3 linked regions of the Schizosaccharomyces pombe genome follow. Changing the gene in region 1 together with any one later gene gives a genetic interaction. Each region holds a gene or a part of one and is shown in the gene's direction. Other genes may lie near its edges.

Evidence for each region.
Region 2: mutations in mag1 (region 1) and rhp41 are lethal when combined (synthetic lethality), as found in Schizosaccharomyces pombe (one study listed by BioGRID).
Region 3: of mag1 (region 1) and mms1, a mutation in one rescues a mutant of the other (synthetic rescue), as found in Schizosaccharomyces pombe (one study listed by BioGRID).

What each region holds. Positions count from the first base shown.
Region 1 is NC_003424.3:2,953,196-2,956,735, reverse strand, and holds mag1 (DNA-3-methyladenine glycosylase Mag1), read left to right. Parts: upstream 1-1,871; 5' UTR 1,872-1,911; coding exon 1,912-2,598; 3' UTR 2,599-3,008; downstream 3,009-3,540. Other genes in the region: SPOM_SPAPB24D3.06C (uncharacterized protein), read left to right, coding at 1-672; SPOM_SPAPB24D3.03 (agmatinase), read right to left, coding at 3,094-3,540. UniProt on the Schizosaccharomyces pombe protein: Hydrolysis of the deoxyribose N-glycosidic bond to excise 3-methyladenine or 7-methyladenine from the damaged DNA polymer formed by alkylation lesions. Can release ethylated and propylated bases from DNA in addition to 3-methyladenine.
Region 2 is NC_003424.3:4,594,046-4,597,804, reverse strand, and holds the start of rhp41 (DNA repair protein Rhp41), read left to right. Parts: upstream 1-1,709; 5' UTR 1,710-2,015; coding exon 2,016-3,759. Other genes in the region: tea5 (serine/threonine protein kinase Ppk2), read left to right, coding at 1-125, 184-238; gid8 (ubiquitin ligase complex subunit protein), read right to left, coding at 536-961, 1,006-1,201, 1,266-1,366. UniProt on the Schizosaccharomyces pombe protein: Has a role in the nucleotide excision repair (NER) pathway. Acts in both transcription-coupled repair (TCR) which removes damage from the transcribed strand of active genes and in global genome repair (GGR) which removes damage in untranscribed DNA.
Region 3 is NC_003424.3:595,927-599,685, reverse strand, and holds the start of mms1 (E3 ubiquitin ligase complex subunit Mms1), read left to right. Parts: upstream 1-2,159; 5' UTR 2,160-2,408; coding exon 2,409-3,759. Other genes in the region: inositol phosphorylceramide synthase Aur1, read right to left, coding at 1-770.

The sequences.
Region 1 (3,540 bases):
AAGGCAGTGGACTATTTTTTGCACATTGGAGGCGCGGACTTTTCTACTCGCAAAATCGTTTTGATGGGACATTCCACGGGATCGCAGAATGTACTATACTATCTTACACAGTCCATTCTTCCAAACTACTTAATCGCCGGAATAGCACAAGCTCCAGTATCGGATAGAGAAGCCGCGTATCAATTTAACGGGAAAGAAAAAACAAAGGAATTGGTTGACTGGGTTAAAGCAGAATATCTTGACAAAGGACTAGGAAATGATGTTTTACCTAGAAGCAAGGTAGAGAATTTTTTTGGTGAAGTTCCGACATCTGCAAATCGATGCATTGACTTGACAGATGTCCGCGGAAATGATGACTTTTTCTCCTCTGACCTGAGCGCCGATGATTTCGCTAAAACTTTTGGTAATCTCAAAGAAATCTCCGGCTCCACAGCACATAGTCAGTTGATACTGCTTATGTCGGAAAGGGACGAGTTCGTCTCGCCATCAACTGATAAAGCACAATTACTGAACCGATTTCGCGAATCAATTCGTCCTACAACTTCTAATAGTTCCTTAAGCGGCATCATACCGGGAGCTACACATAATGTCGGGCCAAAATCTTCACCAGAAGCTTTGAAATGGTTGATAAATCAACTTATAACGGCTTTAAGAAGCTTCATTGATCAATAAAGATTCGTAATACATAGAATATGACTTTAGCGCTAAAAGTCACGTAGAACAGTTTAGATAATTGTGATCCGGATGAAATATTCGACAAAATCTCGCAATGGAGATTTAACAAAAGTAATGTTTTAAATTCAAAAGCATACCCTTAAGCTATCAAAAGCTTCCTCAAAGTTGGAGTTTGATAACTTTTGTGATATTTTTTATCTTTGAAGTTACTTTTGAAATGCTATAAAAGGTATATTGAGAACAATTCCAGTTACTAATCTACTGTTTTACAAATTAAGACTTAATGTTTATCCCATTCCCTTCATAGCGCATTTATCCATTTTATACGTGTTAAGATTATATAACAATATTCATCTCCATACTTCTGTCATTGTAAATTAAGGCGTATAGTTACTTCAATTGTATTATGAAGACAACTGCAAAGCTTCTTTATGTTCAACGTCAATGCTAATTAGAGAAAGTAAGCTTAGTAAGGTGGATGAATAATTCTTAAAACACTATGCTTTCTTTATAGCTATTCCATCGTTTTATCCATTTTATGCCTTATTGAACGCCCAATATTTCTTTAATCTGTCATATACTCTAAGGTCGAAGAGTTGTTACTTGTTTAACGGAAGTGGTTAGTTTCCTCTGACTCTCCTTTACAACATTTTACATCTATAAAAGATCTTTGATACTAACTAATGGAAAAAGATATTATATAAATTGATCGTTTCCACCATATTGTTTTCACTGTCCAAGACGTAGAAGCCACCTGTGAGTTCTATGAGCGCACATTAGGAATGTCGGTTATCGCATTTGGAAACAATCGCAAGGCACTCGGTTTCGGTCATAAAAAATCAACTTGCATCAAAAGGGTAATGAGATTGACCCAAAATCACACATACTGACTCCTGGGTCAAATGATATTTGCCTAATAGCTAAAACACCCTTAGAGCAAGTCATTGCTCACTTAAAAAAGCAAAATGTTCTCATAGAAGAAGGTCCTATTACAAGGGCTGGAGCTGAAGGAGTTATCCTCTCTATTTATTTTCGCGATCCAGATGAAAATTTAATTGAAGTTTCAAATTACATCTAAGAATGTTGAATTTGCTTCAAGATTCCTTTTTTTTAGCTTAGGACTTGCTTACATAAATAACGAATTGCAGTGCAATTCCTAAGGAATGAAAACCCTTACCGTTTAGTCAAAAGCACATAATGAGTGATAAATTTTTGATCAATTGAATCTTTGCTATTATGACTTTGGACATTGAAGAGAAAGAAGAGATAGTCACTTCACTCACAAAAGCAGAAATCCATCTTTCTGGATTGGATGAGAATTGGAAACGGCTCGTGAAGCTCGTTGGTAATTATCGACCCAATCGAAGTATGGAGAAAAAAGAGCCTTATGAAGAATTAATTCGTGCGGTAGCATCTCAACAATTGCATAGTAAAGCTGCTAACGCAATTTTCAATCGCTTTAAAAGTATTTCTAACAATGGCCAATTTCCAACACCAGAGGAAATTCGTGATATGGATTTTGAAATAATGCGTGCCTGTGGATTTTCAGCTCGTAAAATTGATTCATTAAAAAGCATTGCTGAGGCAACAATCAGCGGTTTGATTCCTACTAAAGAAGAAGCTGAAAGGCTCTCAAATGAAGAATTGATAGAACGACTTACTCAGATTAAAGGAATCGGAAGATGGACAGTAGAAATGTTACTCATCTTTTCGTTGAATCGTGATGATGTTATGCCAGCTGACGATTTGAGTATTCGTAATGGATACCGATATCTACACCGATTACCAAAAATTCCAACCAAGATGTATGTTCTTAAGCATAGTGAAATATGTGCACCTTTTCGTACTGCAGCAGCATGGTATCTCTGGAAAACGTCAAAACTTGCCGATTATACAAAGCCTGTTAGGCCGAAGAAACACTGAAGGACAGATGTATTATATATTTAAAAGTAAAAAGTTGAATTCGATAAGTTTATTCCTGGTTGGTCTTTTACATTTTATGTACGCTTCTTTTTATTTTTGGTTTACCAATTTATAGTATCTTTTCAATCATTTCTGAATAGAATGTCTACGTCCACTCAGACGAAGCATTTTCGTCACATTACGCTTATATAAAAGAAGTGATTTTTTGGTGAATGATGGCAAAAATAACAAAAGGGAGATGAGATGTTTTAATGGGTTCATTTGCAAATATTTACAAAACACTCTTGGGTGGTTAAGAAAACCCGTTTCTGCTACATTTGTCTTTTACTTTATGTGATACAAGATAGATGACGCTCAGCTGTCTCTAACGATATACTTGCGTATGATATGTTAATAATATAATGAATAATGATTTTTTTTGAACATGCTCATTTCTGTATCTGTATCTATGATGTCGATATAAATATTGAATATTAAATAAACCAGTTATTTCAATTATTTATGTATTGGCATGTAACGAGATAAATCAGCCTCTTTTACCAAAGGATATTTCACCATCATAGATACAATGTCAAATAACAATTGCGCACCAGCCAAGGATGTTATTTCTGCAACATCGTAAGCGGGAGCTACTTCGACAAGGTCAGCGCCTACGAATTTCAGACCTTGCAAACCACGTAAAATTGCTCTCATTTCTCTAGATGACCAACCGCCAGTTTCAGGAGTACCCGTAGCGGGTGCAAATGCAGGATCAAGCACATCAATATCAATGGATAAATATACCAAATTATCACCAACTCTGTCACGAATCTTTTTGACGATACCATCAATCCCCAAATCATCAATTTCACGAGCCTCAATGATTTTGAAACCACAATCAACATCATCATCGTAGTCAGAGAAACTAGAGATAGGAGTACGAATGCCAGCATGAATGTTGGC
Region 2 (3,759 bases), 1.6 Mb from region 1:
CAAGAATTTAAGGAATTCCTTTTACAAACCTTGCAAGCCGAAACATTACAAGGCCCTAATATCAATATGTTGTTGGAAACTTCTAGTTTTTTGGAAAAGCGACAAACGCTCAATTTTGAAATTTGGTAAGTTTTCAGTTTTGGAACACTTTTGTTTATATCCAATTCTAACCTTTTTTTTTAGCCTAAACAATCTTAATTTGCGAGAACGAAAGGCATCTCGCTACAGTTATCTATGATTACCAATGAAGAAAATCAAATTATTCGCCATAGAAAAAATATTGCTAATTTAATAACCCATTAAATTCCCTCCTTACTTTTAAAAGGAAAAGTTGTGTTTGCTTTGCTTGTCAGTAACTTGATACTATACGATGTTGCTTAACAACAAAAATTGGCTTTGTTAATTGAATGTCATATTATCATTTGTGAGTTCAATAATTTAATTATCATTAGTGAGAACAATACGAAAAAAGTTCTTATGTTAAATGGATGTAACAGACATAAATGCATAAACTGAGGAAGGTCGTAAAAAGTAATCATTTTATGGATGCTTTGGGCACAAATTTCTGCACTTCAATCGAATTCCTTTGTGCCTCTTTTTCACACCAGCGCTCAAAATTTACCAAAGACAACAACCTAGACTCATTTGATAATCCTTGAGACTTCAATATACTAACGTTGGCAAGGTTTGCAACACGCTCACGTTGGCTGTAATTCAAAACATTTTTCAAGGCAGGGCTGTAGGAAGAAGGAGGAAAACATAAAAGCGACATTGTCAACTCTAAAGAATTCAAAAACTTTTGATTTGAGGGTGCTAAAGGTGCTAAATTTTCATGTGCAAAGTTTAAACATCTTTCTACCGCTAAATCAGAGGTATCTTTCTCTTCAACAACTTCTCGTATCAATTCAAGCAATCTCAATCGTAATAATTCAAACAGAAGTTCTGAATTTGTGTCCAAAATCTATGTAGCTGTTAACTCGTAATCCTTACTTGCTTTCAGCATACCTCTGGCTCCAATTCATTCAGTTTGCATATTGCAGAGTTAATTGAACCTGATTTAATTAACTCGCAAATCTCTAAACGTTCTTTTACATATGGAGGAATATAATAATCCGTAATTTGAGCTTCTTCAGCAAATGTTTTTGCGGCTTCTTCGTCACCTTGAATCACCAAATAATCTAAAATCAGCGAATTCACGTCTCTGTACAAGCAATGATTAGTAACCATCAGTAACGTTCAGCGAAGCAACTATTTCAGTTACTTACGAATTATCGATATGGACACTTTTTGTCTGTTTCTCCCATTGTTCTGCGTCCGAACTTGAGCTACCGCTCATTGAAATATCTAAAGAAGAAGTGCCTACCATCTTTAAGCTCTCGTGAGAGAACGGTAGCAAATTCTATTCTATCCTAAACAAAGAGACCTTTTAAAGCTACCAAAAGTTATGACCGGATAAACGAGCCTCAATTCTTGATAAAAAGAAATTTAACGAAATTTATATAGGATAGAGATAGTAAACCCTTGAAAAAGGCAATTTGAAATTCGAATAGCCTGTGCAATGCTAAAGATTGAAGTTGCAAAGTAGCCATATCGCTACCTCAAAGATATGCCGTTTACCAAAATGCAACGCAAACTTCTAACTTAAAATATAATGTACTCTAACGGCGATTTTTGGTTTCACTACAACGCTGTATATAAACAAATTCAACGTTAGCTATGATTTTAATAGAAAAGGAATTTGTTTTTCTTAACGTTATGAACTACTTTTCGTATCAATAAATACAAATCTTTTTCTCATGTGTTACGTGCATTATTAATGGTCAAAACATTTTCTTATATTCTACTTAATTGAAGTATCTTTATAAACTCGTGCTCCCTAGTGTTTTTAAAGAGTTACGCATCTCAAAAACGTTTCATTGGTTTTTTATGTTTCATTTTTTAAAATAATATAATAGAATAAGGGCGCAACGAGTCTTAATACTGAAAAAAGTTGGCTTCTATCAAATATAAATGCTATGATGAGTGACGAAGATAATACCTATAGTGATGATGAAGAATGGTTAGATTTAGATCTTGGTCTCCCTAATAATGATATTAAAACTGCACCTATTTTAAATTCTTCGCTCCTTTCATCCGCCGTACATGGTGAAAGGTTGATTCAAGAACGACCAACTCATGATTTTGGAGACGTTGAGGCCACCGTTGATCGAACGGTTGAAAAACGTAGCCGCTTAAAGATCACTTCCGTTGATAGAAAGATTCGTCTTCAAATTCATCAGTTACACTTACTCTGTTTGACTTATCATCTTTGCACACGAAACACTTGGTGCGATGACAATAGACTAAATTATCTTGTGAAATATATTCCTCCTGGTATACGTGTCTCGCTTCATCCCTCTTCTCAAAAGTCACAAATGATTCGGAACAAAACTTTCCTACACGGGTTGGCTGGACTCGTCGAAGTTTGGAAACGGAAATATAAAATCACTACCAATGGATTAAGAAAACCGAATTATGGTTTACTACAAAACAATAGCCTCATCTCTGAATCTTTATCCCTTGAGGAGTTTTGTAAAAACTCAAAATTGCTTTCCGGTAGTAGAGATTATGGAACCCAGTTATTTGCATCTATTCTTCGTAATTTAAACGTTCCAACTAGACTAGTTTTTTCACTACAAGTTTTATCTTTTCGATTTAAAGGTGCCATAAATGAAGCAAGTAGTCATGAAATTGTTCCGGCATGGTCTCAGCAAATGGAAAATGATTCATCTAGCGATATCTCTGAAAGTGCACACATTACTTCTAGATTTCGCAAACGTAGGAAAATCATACAGCCTTCTTTTTCAAATCTTTCACATCTTGATGCCTCAGATATTGTTACAGAAGATACAAAACTAAAGGTAATTGATTCTCCCAAACCGGTTTTTTGGGTAGAGGCTTTTAATAAAGCTATGCAAAAATGGGTTTGTGTTGATCCATTTGGTGATGCTAGTGTCATTGGCAAGTACAGAAGGTTTGAACCGGCTTCCAGTGACCATCTAAATCAAATGACTTATGTATTTGCTATTGAGGCTAATGGGTATGTAAAAGATGTTACCCGAAAATATTGTTTACATTATTATAAAATATTAAAGAATAGAGTCGAGATTTTTCCCTTTGGAAAGGCTTGGATGAATAGAATATTTTCTAAAATTGGAAAACCAAGGGATTTTTATAATGACATGGATGCTATAGAGGATGCGGAATTACTAAGGCTTGAACAATCAGAAGGAATTCCGAGGAATATTCAAGATTTGAAAGATCACCCGCTTTTTGTTTTGGAGAGGCATTTAAAAAAGAACCAGGCTATTAAAACTGGTAAATCCTGTGGAAGAATCAACACAAAAAATGGGGTCGAATTAGTGTATCCACGCAAATATGTTAGCAACGGCTTCTCTGCTGAACATTGGTATCGTAAGGGTCGTATCATAAAGCCAGGAGCTCAGCCTTTAAAACATGTTAAGAATGGAGATAAAGTATTACCCTTGTATGATGAAGAAGCTACGCAGTTGTACACTCCGAAACCGGTTGTTGCGAACATTGTTCCTAAAAATGCATACGGAAACATCGATTTATATGTCCCTTCAATGTTGCCATATGGAGCATATCATTGTAGAAAACGTTGTGCTTTGGCAGCAGCTAAATTTTTAGAGATTGACTATGCAAAAGCAGTTGTTGGATTTGATTTTCAACGGAAGTACTCAAAGCCTAAATTAGAGG
Region 3 (3,759 bases), 2.4 Mb from region 1:
CCAGCGTGAAGAGATGGAAAGGCACCAAAAACAACCGGAGAGTTAGAAAAACCATCAGTGTAAATGCTAGTGCCGAAGAGAGCATCAATACGGGCCAATCCACCAGGAGAGCCACGTACTGCATACGTGGCAGGTTCTAAACCATACATATTTTCATACCAAGGAGGAGAACAGGGGAAAGCCATTTGGATAAGAACACCAAATAAATTCATATAACCAAAAGTTCGAGCCCAAACTGGAAGAGTTCCAGGAGGTGCAAAGATGAAAAGAATAAATGAAATGATAAAAGGAGCCGAATAATGCATGACTCCATATGGAACCCAGGCCAAAATATCAAGGATGCTATGCGTGGTTTTCGAGAGAAGACTAGAAAGATTAGAGCCATAAAGAATATTTTCAAGTGTGGGTAAAACACGAACCCATATGGGTGGACGCCAGCGTTCTGGAATAAACCTACAAGAGTAAAATAAAATTGCCCAGGTGATGATAACAATGGCAGGAAAAAAAATTTGGCGTGTTAAAGGAACGGTCAACGCAATGGCCAAAAGACAGGCAATGCCAAATTTCCCCCAGAATCCAGGAGATTCAATGACAATACAAGCAAAAATCAAATTACCTGCTAGAAACACATATTGCAAATGTGTCCATGACCATTTCGTATTGCGTAGCAAACGAAATGTAGGCATAGGGTTTAAGCTTGTTTCCAACTTGTATTGGGATGCTCGGTTACACGCAGCAAGGCGCTTTTTTAAGGTCGAAAGAGCAGACATTGCTTCAAAGAATTATCAGAGTAAAAAAGGGAAGCGTACGAAAAAAATTTCGTAAGGAATTAACCGGAAAACTAAAGGAAAAAAAAGGAATTTTTATGAAGGAAAGAAAGTAGCTATTAAATGCAAGTGTCAAGCACTTAAAAGTAGCGATGTAAAATATTTAAAAAAAGATGGACCGATTAACCAATGTTCAGCTCACAGTTGCCAGCAATCAGGGCTATTTTTTTATTTTTTTTATAAAATTGCTAATTATATATAATATAATTAGTTTATTAACTTGCTTTTCCTCAAAAAACCAATTCGAGAAAGGAACTTTTGCAGAGGCAAAAAAGCTTCTCCGAAAGAGATACTAGTTTAAAAACCTTTGGTTGCAAATACAAACCAAAATACTCCAATTTAACTATACAATTGGAGTTAGTCGATTTCAATTGCCCCGTATAAATGGTTCTTTAGAGGTTGGTAGTGGCGAGCTGAGAATGGTACGGTCGGCTAGTATTTGTTTAGGTTTGGCAAGTGGTGTTACTGTAGCGCAACACAAGATAGCCTAGCGAAAACAACGTTATTTCGAAACTCTAGGTAATTGGAAGATATTCCTTCTCAGGTAACACTATTCGGCAACGGCAGCCAATAAAATATTTGAAAGCTAAGACTCGTTATTAAACAATAAGACACTAAGCTCCATATATAATTACCGTATCCAAGTTTACTGCACGGAAATGAGAAAGCGGAAAGTAAATCAGAAACAATTTTAGCGAAATAAAATATGAATTTCGATATAATAAGATAAAAACATTGCGGTTGAGGGTAGTATCAGATGAAGCAAATATATTATTGTAACTAAATACCTTAAGCGCATCTAGGACACGTACTTAAGCATGGGTCTATATATTCAATAACTTAGCAATGTTACGAAATATTTAGGAGGAATAGTTTTATGCACTCTTTAATACTTCAAATTTTACTTCCGTCTATATCTGTTGAATTAAGCATTCAAAATGACAATTGACAACATTAAAACAATGTAAATCTATTTGGAAGTACTAATTTTTGTTTTCGATTTCTTAATTAGGAAAACAAAAAGTGCCTACTTGCATTTTCACAGCCTTTTTCTTTGGATTCTGAATGTATACATTAGCACCCTGTTGATAATTCTTTCACGTAGGTAAAAAAGACATCATTAAGCTATTGATTTTAAATGGCCGTAGAAAATTCAAACTGTCGTAGGTCAGACAACACTTCTCTAAAGATGAAACCAAATCGTATATTTGTTAACTAGAAATCAAAATCATATATCGCATATTAATTGTTATCTTAATTTTTGTGTTCCTTAGGTTCTCGAAATTCCAACGATGGATATTCTTACATACATTCAACACAACCCAACATATTAACTCGAACAAGCCATGGTTGGTTGTCAATAATCCTTTCACATTTGGAGGAACTCGTAAGGATCTATCTTCTAAATAAGGGCGTTATATATATTTAAACCTGTACATATCTATTTTCATTGATTTTAATGTTTTTTCCGTATTTGCTAATTTCTTTGATGCATACGATTAACTAATAGCTTTTTCTATTCTATCAAAATTTGACTCTAATCAAATTAAATTGGTTCCAAGCGTTTAACTTTGTGAATTCATGGCAGAAATTATTCATCATTCAAACGTATTCACCTGGGCTTTTCATGTTTCCGAATATGATGGTGCTCCTCTCCTTTTACTTGGATCTTTTTCCTCTGTAGCTTCTGTGAGTTTAAAGCGATCTGGTGATTTACTACTTTTTGAAAGATTCACGTTGCCTGCAAGAACGAGGTCTGTTGCTTTGTTATCAAGCCATTTCCTTCAGTCAGAATCAGGTAGACATTCAATAGCGAATATTTTAATTGCTACTGAAAACGGAAAATGCTACTTGTTGCAGCTCGTCAAAACACCAGAAAAAGCGTTTCCGACGATTCGTATTAGAGATGAATTCGTTCTTGATACTCGAATGTACAACCATGAACAATTAGGAAAATCAATTGATTTATGCCCAAATGCTTCCTTGTGGGCTACTAATTCTTTTGCTGGTGATATTGTATTTTTCTTTTCACATCATCCTTCCTTAAGCAAGCAAGTCTTCGCTCAACTTTCTATCGATGGAATAATACTTCATACCATATTTGTACCTCCAAAAAGATCCTCTTCGTCTTGTGTTACGTATGTTTGTCTTTTTCTAGATTCAAATTCGAATCCTAGAATCAATGTTTATAGGTGGTCTAAGACGGAAACCTTTTCTGATGCTAGTTCTTACATAACCTTCTCAATACCGGTTCCATCCGAATTTTCTCTTGCTTCCCATATTATCCCTTGCTCCAATATTCCTGATCATTTTTTAGTATTATTGGAGACAAAGATTTGTCTGCTTTCTGTCCCACAGATAGAATGTGGGGATCTAAAATTTTTACAGACCGATCTTCCATGCAGCGGTTCACATAATTATCCATTGTCTATTGCAAATGATAACGAAACTCCGAATTGTTGCTATTTAACCTACGAAAATGGAGATTTGTATCGCATTCGTTACTCTATTTTGTCTATTGATATTAATTTAATTGGAAAGACTGGATCTTCTTTAGGAAATTTGATACTACCTTGTTATCCATACATTGTTTTTTGTGGTGACTGTTCTGATACATTAGTGTATGATGTTTCGGTATCGCCTATGTCCTTTTTTGGTAGCTTAATTGCTTGCGCTCCAATGTGGGATTTTGTGTATTCCTCATCAAGGCATAACACTTTGTTGGATGAAGACATCAATTGTAATACAGTTTATGCTACTGCTGGCATTGGTAAATCTGGGTGTTTGGTCACAATGCGTTACGGGTGCTCATCCACTACTTTGCTTGAAGCAATATTAACTGAGGGAGCTGTTTTATCAGGAATTATAAATTCTAACCACAACTCTGAATTTTACGCTTGGCTAACTTATCCTTGGCAAACACAAATTTTAA